Stegostoma tigrinum: one gene and its partner. The protein of the gene in region 1 purifies or fractionates together with the protein of each later gene. This does not show direct contact. Links are inferred from orthologs where the notes say so. Each region holds a gene or a part of one and is shown in the gene's direction. Other genes may lie near its edges.

Region 1 (3,752 bases):
TCACTTATACCATCACCAGAAGCTCATGAAGTTCTATTCAAGTACACATTTGCCCATACTGCAGCTGCTGCCCTACCTCATCAGTATCTCTGCAATTCGGAATCCAATGCCAGATCCTCCTCCTGTGATGAATGCCACTTTGTCCCTATTCAGAGATGTAAGAGGTTAACACTAATAATTATTTATTACTTTATTAAAAGCAGTAAGTACAATTACACCTCCCATCACAGCAGTCGCGTGCCCCTCCTAATGTAATCAAAGCGTACGAAAAATACTGTTCCAAAGAACATTTGCAAGCAAAAGGGATCCTTTAAACATAACTCACTGTCACTCACCGCAGATTACACATTGAAAATATAACACGGCTTACTTCAGTATCTGAGGAAACAAGGTGTGGAGCTGGATGAACACGGCAAGCCCAGCAGCATCAGAGGAACACGAAGGCTGACGTTTCGGGTCTAGGCCCGAAACGTCAGCCTTCGTGCTCCACTGACGCTTCTTGGCCTGTTGTGTTCATCCAGGTCTGCACCTTGTTATCTCAGAATCTGCAGTTCCTACCATCTCTTACTTCAGTATGTCATGGCTGAATATATACGAATAGTTCAACAAACAATCATCAGTATCCACTTCCTGAGGACTGTTGCCCATGACAGACGTGATTATTTCTTAGGAATCAGTTTTAATCTTCGTTCTGCCTTATTTTGGGGAAGGAAGTGAAGCTCCTACACGGACTCCAAAAAACAGAGTTTTCACAAACTCTAGAGATAATTTCTGGAGGGAGTTCCTAAAACAGGTCCAGATGAACTCTGACCCAGACTCCTTTTCAGGGCCCTGGTCACAGAGTCAAAATACCGCCTAAAACTCCCCCGTCCCCCGGCCACAGCCCCCAATTAGTACTGAGCATGCGCCTCCTTCAGGCAGCTCTCAGGCAAAACTACATTTCCCACAATGCCATTTAATCGGATCAACCCTCGTGTATTTTCGATATGATCGGCATTTTTCGGCATGTAAGTGTCGCTTCCGCTCTCGCCGGTTGTTACGGCAACTGCAGGTACGCTAAAGCGATCTTGAATCGGAGCTAACACCAGGAAAAACGTGCAAGAGGACGGCCAGCACCCGTTGTTCTGCAGGTAACGCCGCTTTCAGTCACCCACGGATCGAGGGGAGGCACCAGTTTTTTTCAAGTGGATAATGCGGAGTTGTAGTTGCAGATAGGCCGCAGCCTGGAGGCACAGTACTAGCTTAGTCGCGTTATGTGTCAGTTGGATTGGCAAATTTCAACATCAGGGCGGGATATTCGGGATCATCAATCGGCGCATTCAGAAAAATCTCAGGTACCAACACTGCAAACAGGTAGCACCCGGAACACAACACCCCCTTCCAATTTATTACTAAAGCAAATCACACAGCTGTACCCACAGAAGAATAAAAACAGACTTCAGGTTGATGACCTAACAACAGCACTGGGAAAGGTTATAAACGTAATAAAGTTTGAGCGAGAGTTGCTGGGACCCTCCGTACCATTGAAACACTTCAAAACGCCTAGCCCATCACTAAAACACCCTACCACTAAATCATCTGCAAATCCATCACAAAAATATGGCAACATGTGCTCTGCCTTGAGCCCCATCATTAAAGCTCAATAGTAACATGTCCCCACCAGCCTGAGCGATCCAATCTGACCAAGATGATTGTTGGAAGAGCCTTAGTCCCAAAACTTTGCTAGTCGAGGCCTGGACTGGTCACAAGGAAGATTGTTGCCAGTGTGATTCTACACTCTTTAAATTTTGCTATAGATAGTTGGAGCTGTAACTGGTTCCTCAGTGTAATTGTCAAGAAGGGAACAGGGATTATCAAAATACTGCAAGCTATTTTTTAATTGAGTTAAGCTGACAATTTTTAATCTATTGTTGATCAGGCTTTTATTGAAATTGCATTGTCTTCTGACAGAAGCTTACCTTACTGTGTTGAGATGGCAGTTTACTTTGATCATCGTATTGAAGCGCCTGAGAATATCGGTTCTCCATCACAGATTGCTTGGCATCATATCCACCCATTATTGGCAGTGGCCTCTGTAAGCACCAGTTGCATTCCAGGAGGCAGTGTTGATGTGTATCTTGAGCAGGTGGGTATCTTGGAATTTTCTCTCCTGTCTTGGAGACCTGGTCGGTCACCTTTGCTTTGGTTTGTTTGTCATTAGTTACACTGAGACATATCACTGACAGCATCAGTAATGAATGTCAGCAAGTTACTGATTGAATCAGCAGAAGACATGTAACTGTGTAGTTCTAGCAGATGTCACTGGAGTAGAAATTCTAGAGGATTTTTCATGTTTGTACAATCATACTGTTGCTTCTGCACAGAAAGAGAACGTATAATGTTCATGTCACCGCTCCGCAGAAGAAGTTCAATTAGTCTCAAACCCAACACTTTCCCTGTAGTTCTGCAAGTTAGGCAGCATCTGTGATGAATAAAAACAGATTTCAGTTCGATGACCTAACAACAGATCTGGGAAAGGTTATAAATGTAATAAAATTTCAGCAAGAGTTGCTGGGACCCACCCTACAAATGAAACACTAAAAACAAACCCTAGCCCCCCATCACTAAAATACCCTACCACTAAATCATCTGCAAATCCATCACATAAAATATGGCAATACATTCCCTACCCCCAGCCCCATCATTAAAGTTCAATATTAACATGTCCCCACCATCACAAACCAGAATGACATCCCCACTTTCCAGCCTGCAGCAATCCAATCCGACCAAGATGACAATTGGAAGAGTCTTACTACCGAAACTTAGCTCGTCGAGGTCTGGAACTGGTCACAAAGACGATTGTTGCCAGTGTAATTCTACACTTTTTAACAACTGCTGTAGATATTGGAGCTGTAACTGGTTCCGCATTGTAATTGTCAATAAGGTGTAGTTCTACAATTTTTTTCTCTTCACGTGCTAATCCAATTCTCTTTTGAAAGCAACGTTTGACTCTGCCTCCACCGCACTCAAGCAGTATATACCAGATTCTAACTACATGCTTTGTAATAAATATTTATATTTATGATATGCTTGGCTACTTTCCCAGTCACTGAAATTTGTGTGTCTTCTAGTTTTTGACCCTTCCACCACTGGGAGCTGTTTCGTCCTATTTTTCTATTGGGAGAAAAACACTGTAGTTATTTGGATGACTGCAGTTGAAGGCAGTGGGAGTGGTGAGCGTGAAGAGAAGCCTGTGCCTAATGTAGGCATGTTGTAATGTTTCAGTCCTTCATGAAATACTGTAATGAATTAAACTGCAAAATATGACCATTATCATCTGTATTATAATATTACTCTAACTGACTCTGGTCTCTAAAATCTAAAATTAACCTGACCTACAGGACCAGAACCATTGGATATGAGTACTATATTAAATTAAAGTAAATATTTGCACCTTTTCCCCTCCTCCCACTCCCTACTCAACTCCCTGCCCCACCAATGCAGTTCTTTAGAAATTCATTTTTGCTTGGTTTATTGATTATGTATTATTGTCCAAAATGAAGCACAACTCTAAATATATATTCCAGGCCTGCCCCTTTTGCACACCAACATGACTGATTCTACAGGTGGCACATTGGGTGTTTATTAACTTCAGTTGAAGATTCAAGTTTGAAACTGAAACATACTGGAATTATACACAGTCATGGCATGGGAGCAAGAGTGCTACAAGCAGACTGTAATAACTATGCAGAGGCCAGTATTGCATCATCAGG
Region 2 (3,752 bases), on another chromosome or scaffold:
TGTTGCGAACCGAGTGGAGGTGTTCTGCAAAGCGGTCCCCCCAAGCCTCCGCTTGGTTTCCCCAATGTAGAGGAAGCCGCACCGGGTACAATGGATGCAGTATACCACATTGGCAGATGTGCAGGTGAACCTCTGCTTAATGTGGAATGTCATCTTGGGGCCTGGGATGGGGGTGAGGGACGAGGTGTGGGGGCAAGTGTAGCATTTCCTGCGGTTGCAGGGGAAGGTGCCGGGTGTGGTGGAGTTGGAGGGCAGTGTGGAGCGAACAAGGGAGTCACGGAGAGAGTGGTCTCTCCGGAAAGCAGACAGGGGTGGGGATGGAAAAATGTCTTGGGTGGTGGGGTCGGATTGTAGATGGCAGAAGTGTCGGAGGATGATGCGTTGTATCCGGAGGTTGGTGGGGTGGTGTGTAAGAATGAGGGGGATCCTCTTTGGGCAGTTGTGGCAGGGGCGGGGTGTGAGGGATGTGTTGCGGGAAATGCGGGAGACGCGGTCAAGGGCGTTCTCGACCACTGTGGGGGGAAAGTTGCGGTCCTTGAAGAACTTGGACATCTGGGATGTGTGGGAGTGGAATGCCTCATCGTGGGAGCTGATGCGGCGGAGGCGGAGGAATTGGGAATAGGGGATGGAATTTTTGCAGGAGAGTGGGTGGGAGAAGGTGTATTCTAGGTAGCTGTGGGAGTCGGTGGGCTTGAAATGGACATCAGTTACAAGCTGGTTGCCTGAGATGGAGACTGAGAGGTCCAGGAAGGTGAGGGATGTGCTGGAGATGGCCCAGGTGAACTGAAGGTTGGGGTGGAAGGTGTTGGTGAAGTGGATGAACTGTTCGAGCTCCTCTGGGGAGCAAGAGGCGGCGCCGATACAGTCATCAATGTACCGGAGGAAGAGGTGGGGTTTGGGGCCTGTGTAGGTGCAGAAGAGGGACCGTTCCACGTAACCTACAAAGAGGCAGGCATAGCTGGGGCCCATGCGGGTGCCCATGGCCACCCCCTTAGTCTGTAGGAAGTGGGAGGAGTCAAAAGAGAAGTTGTTGAGTGTGAGGACGAGTTCGGCTAGACGGATGAGGGTGTCGGTGGAGGGGGACTGGTCGGGCCTGCGGGACAGGAAGAAGCGGAGGGCCTTGAGGCCATCTCCATGCGGAATACAGGTGTATAGGGACTGGACGTCCATGGTGAAGATGAGGTGTTGGGGGCCAGGGAATTGGAAGTCCTGGAGGAGGTGGAGGGCATGGGTGGTGTCATGGATGTAGGTGGGGAGTTCCTGGACCAAAGGGGAGAAAATGGAGTCCAGATAGGTGGAGATGAGTTCGGTGGGGCAGGAGCAGGCTGAGACGATGGGTCGACCAGGGCAGGCAGGTTTGTGGATTTTGGGAAGGAGATAGAAACGGGCAGTGCGGTGTTCTGTGGCCTTTATCTCCACGGACTGTGACCTGTTGATACCTTTCGGCTTTTTGTTTTGATTTAGATTAGTAGTCATGGAGATTTCTTTTAAACAAGCAGCCCCAGGTTGACAGTAAATTCATGGTCCTCCAGGCTTTCTCACTGGGACTGAGCCTGCAAAGAAACACGGTGATGGCGCATGCCGACGGTTACCATGGCTACCAGACGCCCTACCGCGTTGCACTACGGGAAGAGGACGCATTGCTGCGCGTGCGCATTTGGTCAGCGCGGCCACACTTGGGGAAGCTAGAGGCTGAAGGAAATAAAGAGAAAGATGAAGGTGAGAGAGGAAGTGCAGGTGGAGGCTGCTCCGGTATCATCAAGTCTTCGGGTTGAGGAGAGAGAGATGTATTCGCGTTAACAATTTTCGGTTTTGTTACTTAGCGCCGCTGTTGTCGATGGCTTGTGATAACACCGCAATTTGCAAAGGCCTCAGCTCTACTTTGACGGTTACTATGGAAACGGAGTTGGTGGTACAATGGATTGTAGTCCCTGAACCCTCATGACCCAGAAAATATTCCCCCGAGACGTGGGGATATTCTGTCTCCTAGAAAGTATTGTAATTGTACTCTCACTGTGTTCACCACAGATCCATTAATACCAGCTTCCGCTGGATACTGCAAAGGCTGTGGGCCCTGAGAACATTCTGACAATAGTACTTGTGCTCCAGAACTTGCTGTTTGCGTAGCCAAGCAGGTTCAGTTAAGTTACAATGCTGGCACTTGCCTGTCAATGTGAAAAATTGCCCAAGTATGTCTTGTACACCAAAAGCAGGATAAATCCAACCGGGCTAATTGCCTCCCCATTAGTCTACTCTTGATCATGTGGTAAGTGACGGAAGGTAACATTAACAATGTAATCAACCAGCACTTACTTGTCGACCATTTGCTCAGTGATGTCCAATTTGACTTCAAACATGGACAAAACAACTGAATTTCAGGAGTGAAAGTGACAGCCCATGAAATCGAGGCCATGTTTGATAGAGTGTGGTATCAGGAAGCCCTACTAAAATTCAAATCACTGGGAATTAGGAGAAAACTCTCTGTTAATTTGATGCATTCCTTGAACATAGGAAGATGGTCGTGATTGTCAGAGATCAGTCATCTCCGCTCCTGGAAATCTCTGCTGGAGTTCCTCAGTGGTTCCTAGGCCCAACAATCTTTAGCTGCTTCATCGAAAACCTTCCCTCCTCCATCAGGTCAGATGTGGGGATGTTCACCAGTACTTGCACAGTGGCCAGCACCATCATGACTCCTCGGATACTGAAACAGTCCCTGTCCAAATGCATCAAGACCTAGACAGCATTCAGGTTTGGGCAGAAAAAGTGGCAAGTAACATTCATGCCATCACTTGACATTCAATGGAGTCGCCATCACTGATTCCCTCATCCTAGCAGTTACTGTTGACCAGAAACTCAACTGGGCATACCATTATAATTACAGTGGCTACAAGAGCAGGCTGGAGTCTTGGAATACTGCACTAAGTTACTCACCAACTGACTTCTCAAAAATCTTTCCGCCATCTACAAGGCACAAGTCAGGAATGTGACAATACTTCCCACTTGCCTGAATTAGTGTAAATCAAACAACGCAAAAGGTTGACACTATCCATGATAAAACAGCCTGAATGATTGGCACTAAGTCCAGAAACACCTGCTCGATCCACCACCAAAGCTCCGGAGCAGCCATAGAGCATGTTTTGCTAAACATCCTAAGATCACACCTTCCATGGCCACTTTAATCTAGCAGCGTCTAGAGAAAGCAGAGATAACATTTTGGGTCCGGTCACCCTTCCTCAGAACTGATGGTAGCTCAGAAAATGTTGGTATTAATGCAGAAGATGGGATGGGGGGAAGGGAGTAAGGAGTAAATGATAGGTGAGGATAGAGCCCAAAGAGAGAGAAGACAGTTGGACAGACAAAAGAGTAGATAAGGATTTGGCTAGGAGAGTGAATAGCTGTTAATGGAGACTGTTGGTGGCTAACAATGGGTTGTGTGTAATAGCAGACTATGCAGTCACAAGGCCTGGTGCTTTGGTGTGGGGACTAGGACATAGGAGTGTTCAAGACCTACAGTTATTAAACTCGATATTGAGTAGGGCAGGGACCCCAAGCAGAAAATGAATTGTTGTTCATCCAGCTTATGCTGAGCGTTGCTGGAGCACTGCAGCAAGCCTAAGACAGAGATATTGGCCAGGGTACAGGATGATGTGTAGATGTGGCGGGCAACAACTTCTTTCCTCCCCTGTCCCATTCCAACCTATTTTCCCCTGAACTGACTGCATTCTATGTGCTCAGATCCAATCTTGACTTTA

Evidence for each region.
Region 2: the proteins of ift140 (region 1) and wdr19 purify together in Homo sapiens (co-immunoprecipitation; 3 studies listed by BioGRID and IntAct, with this or other methods). This does not show direct contact. The link is inferred for Stegostoma tigrinum from reciprocal best matches to the Homo sapiens genes IFT140 and WDR19.

Annotation. Positions count from the first base shown.
Region 1 is NC_081376.1:31,776,322-31,780,073, forward strand, and holds the start of ift140 (intraflagellar transport protein 140 homolog), read left to right. Parts: upstream 1-961; 5' UTR 962-1,130; intron 1,131-1,950; 5' UTR 1,951-1,972; coding exon 1,973-2,125; intron 2,126-3,752. Other genes in the region: decr2 (peroxisomal 2,4-dienoyl-CoA reductase [(3E)-enoyl-CoA-producing]), read right to left, coding at 77-145, 569-648. UniProt on the Homo sapiens protein: Component of the IFT complex A (IFT-A), a complex required for retrograde ciliary transport and entry into cilia of G protein-coupled receptors (GPCRs).
Region 2 is NC_081354.1:98,068,880-98,072,631, forward strand, and holds the start of wdr19 (WD repeat-containing protein 19), read left to right. Parts: upstream 1-1,637; 5' UTR 1,638-1,713; coding exon 1,714-1,719; intron 1,720-3,752. UniProt on the Homo sapiens protein: As component of the IFT complex A (IFT-A), a complex required for retrograde ciliary transport and entry into cilia of G protein-coupled receptors (GPCRs), it is involved in cilia function and/or assembly.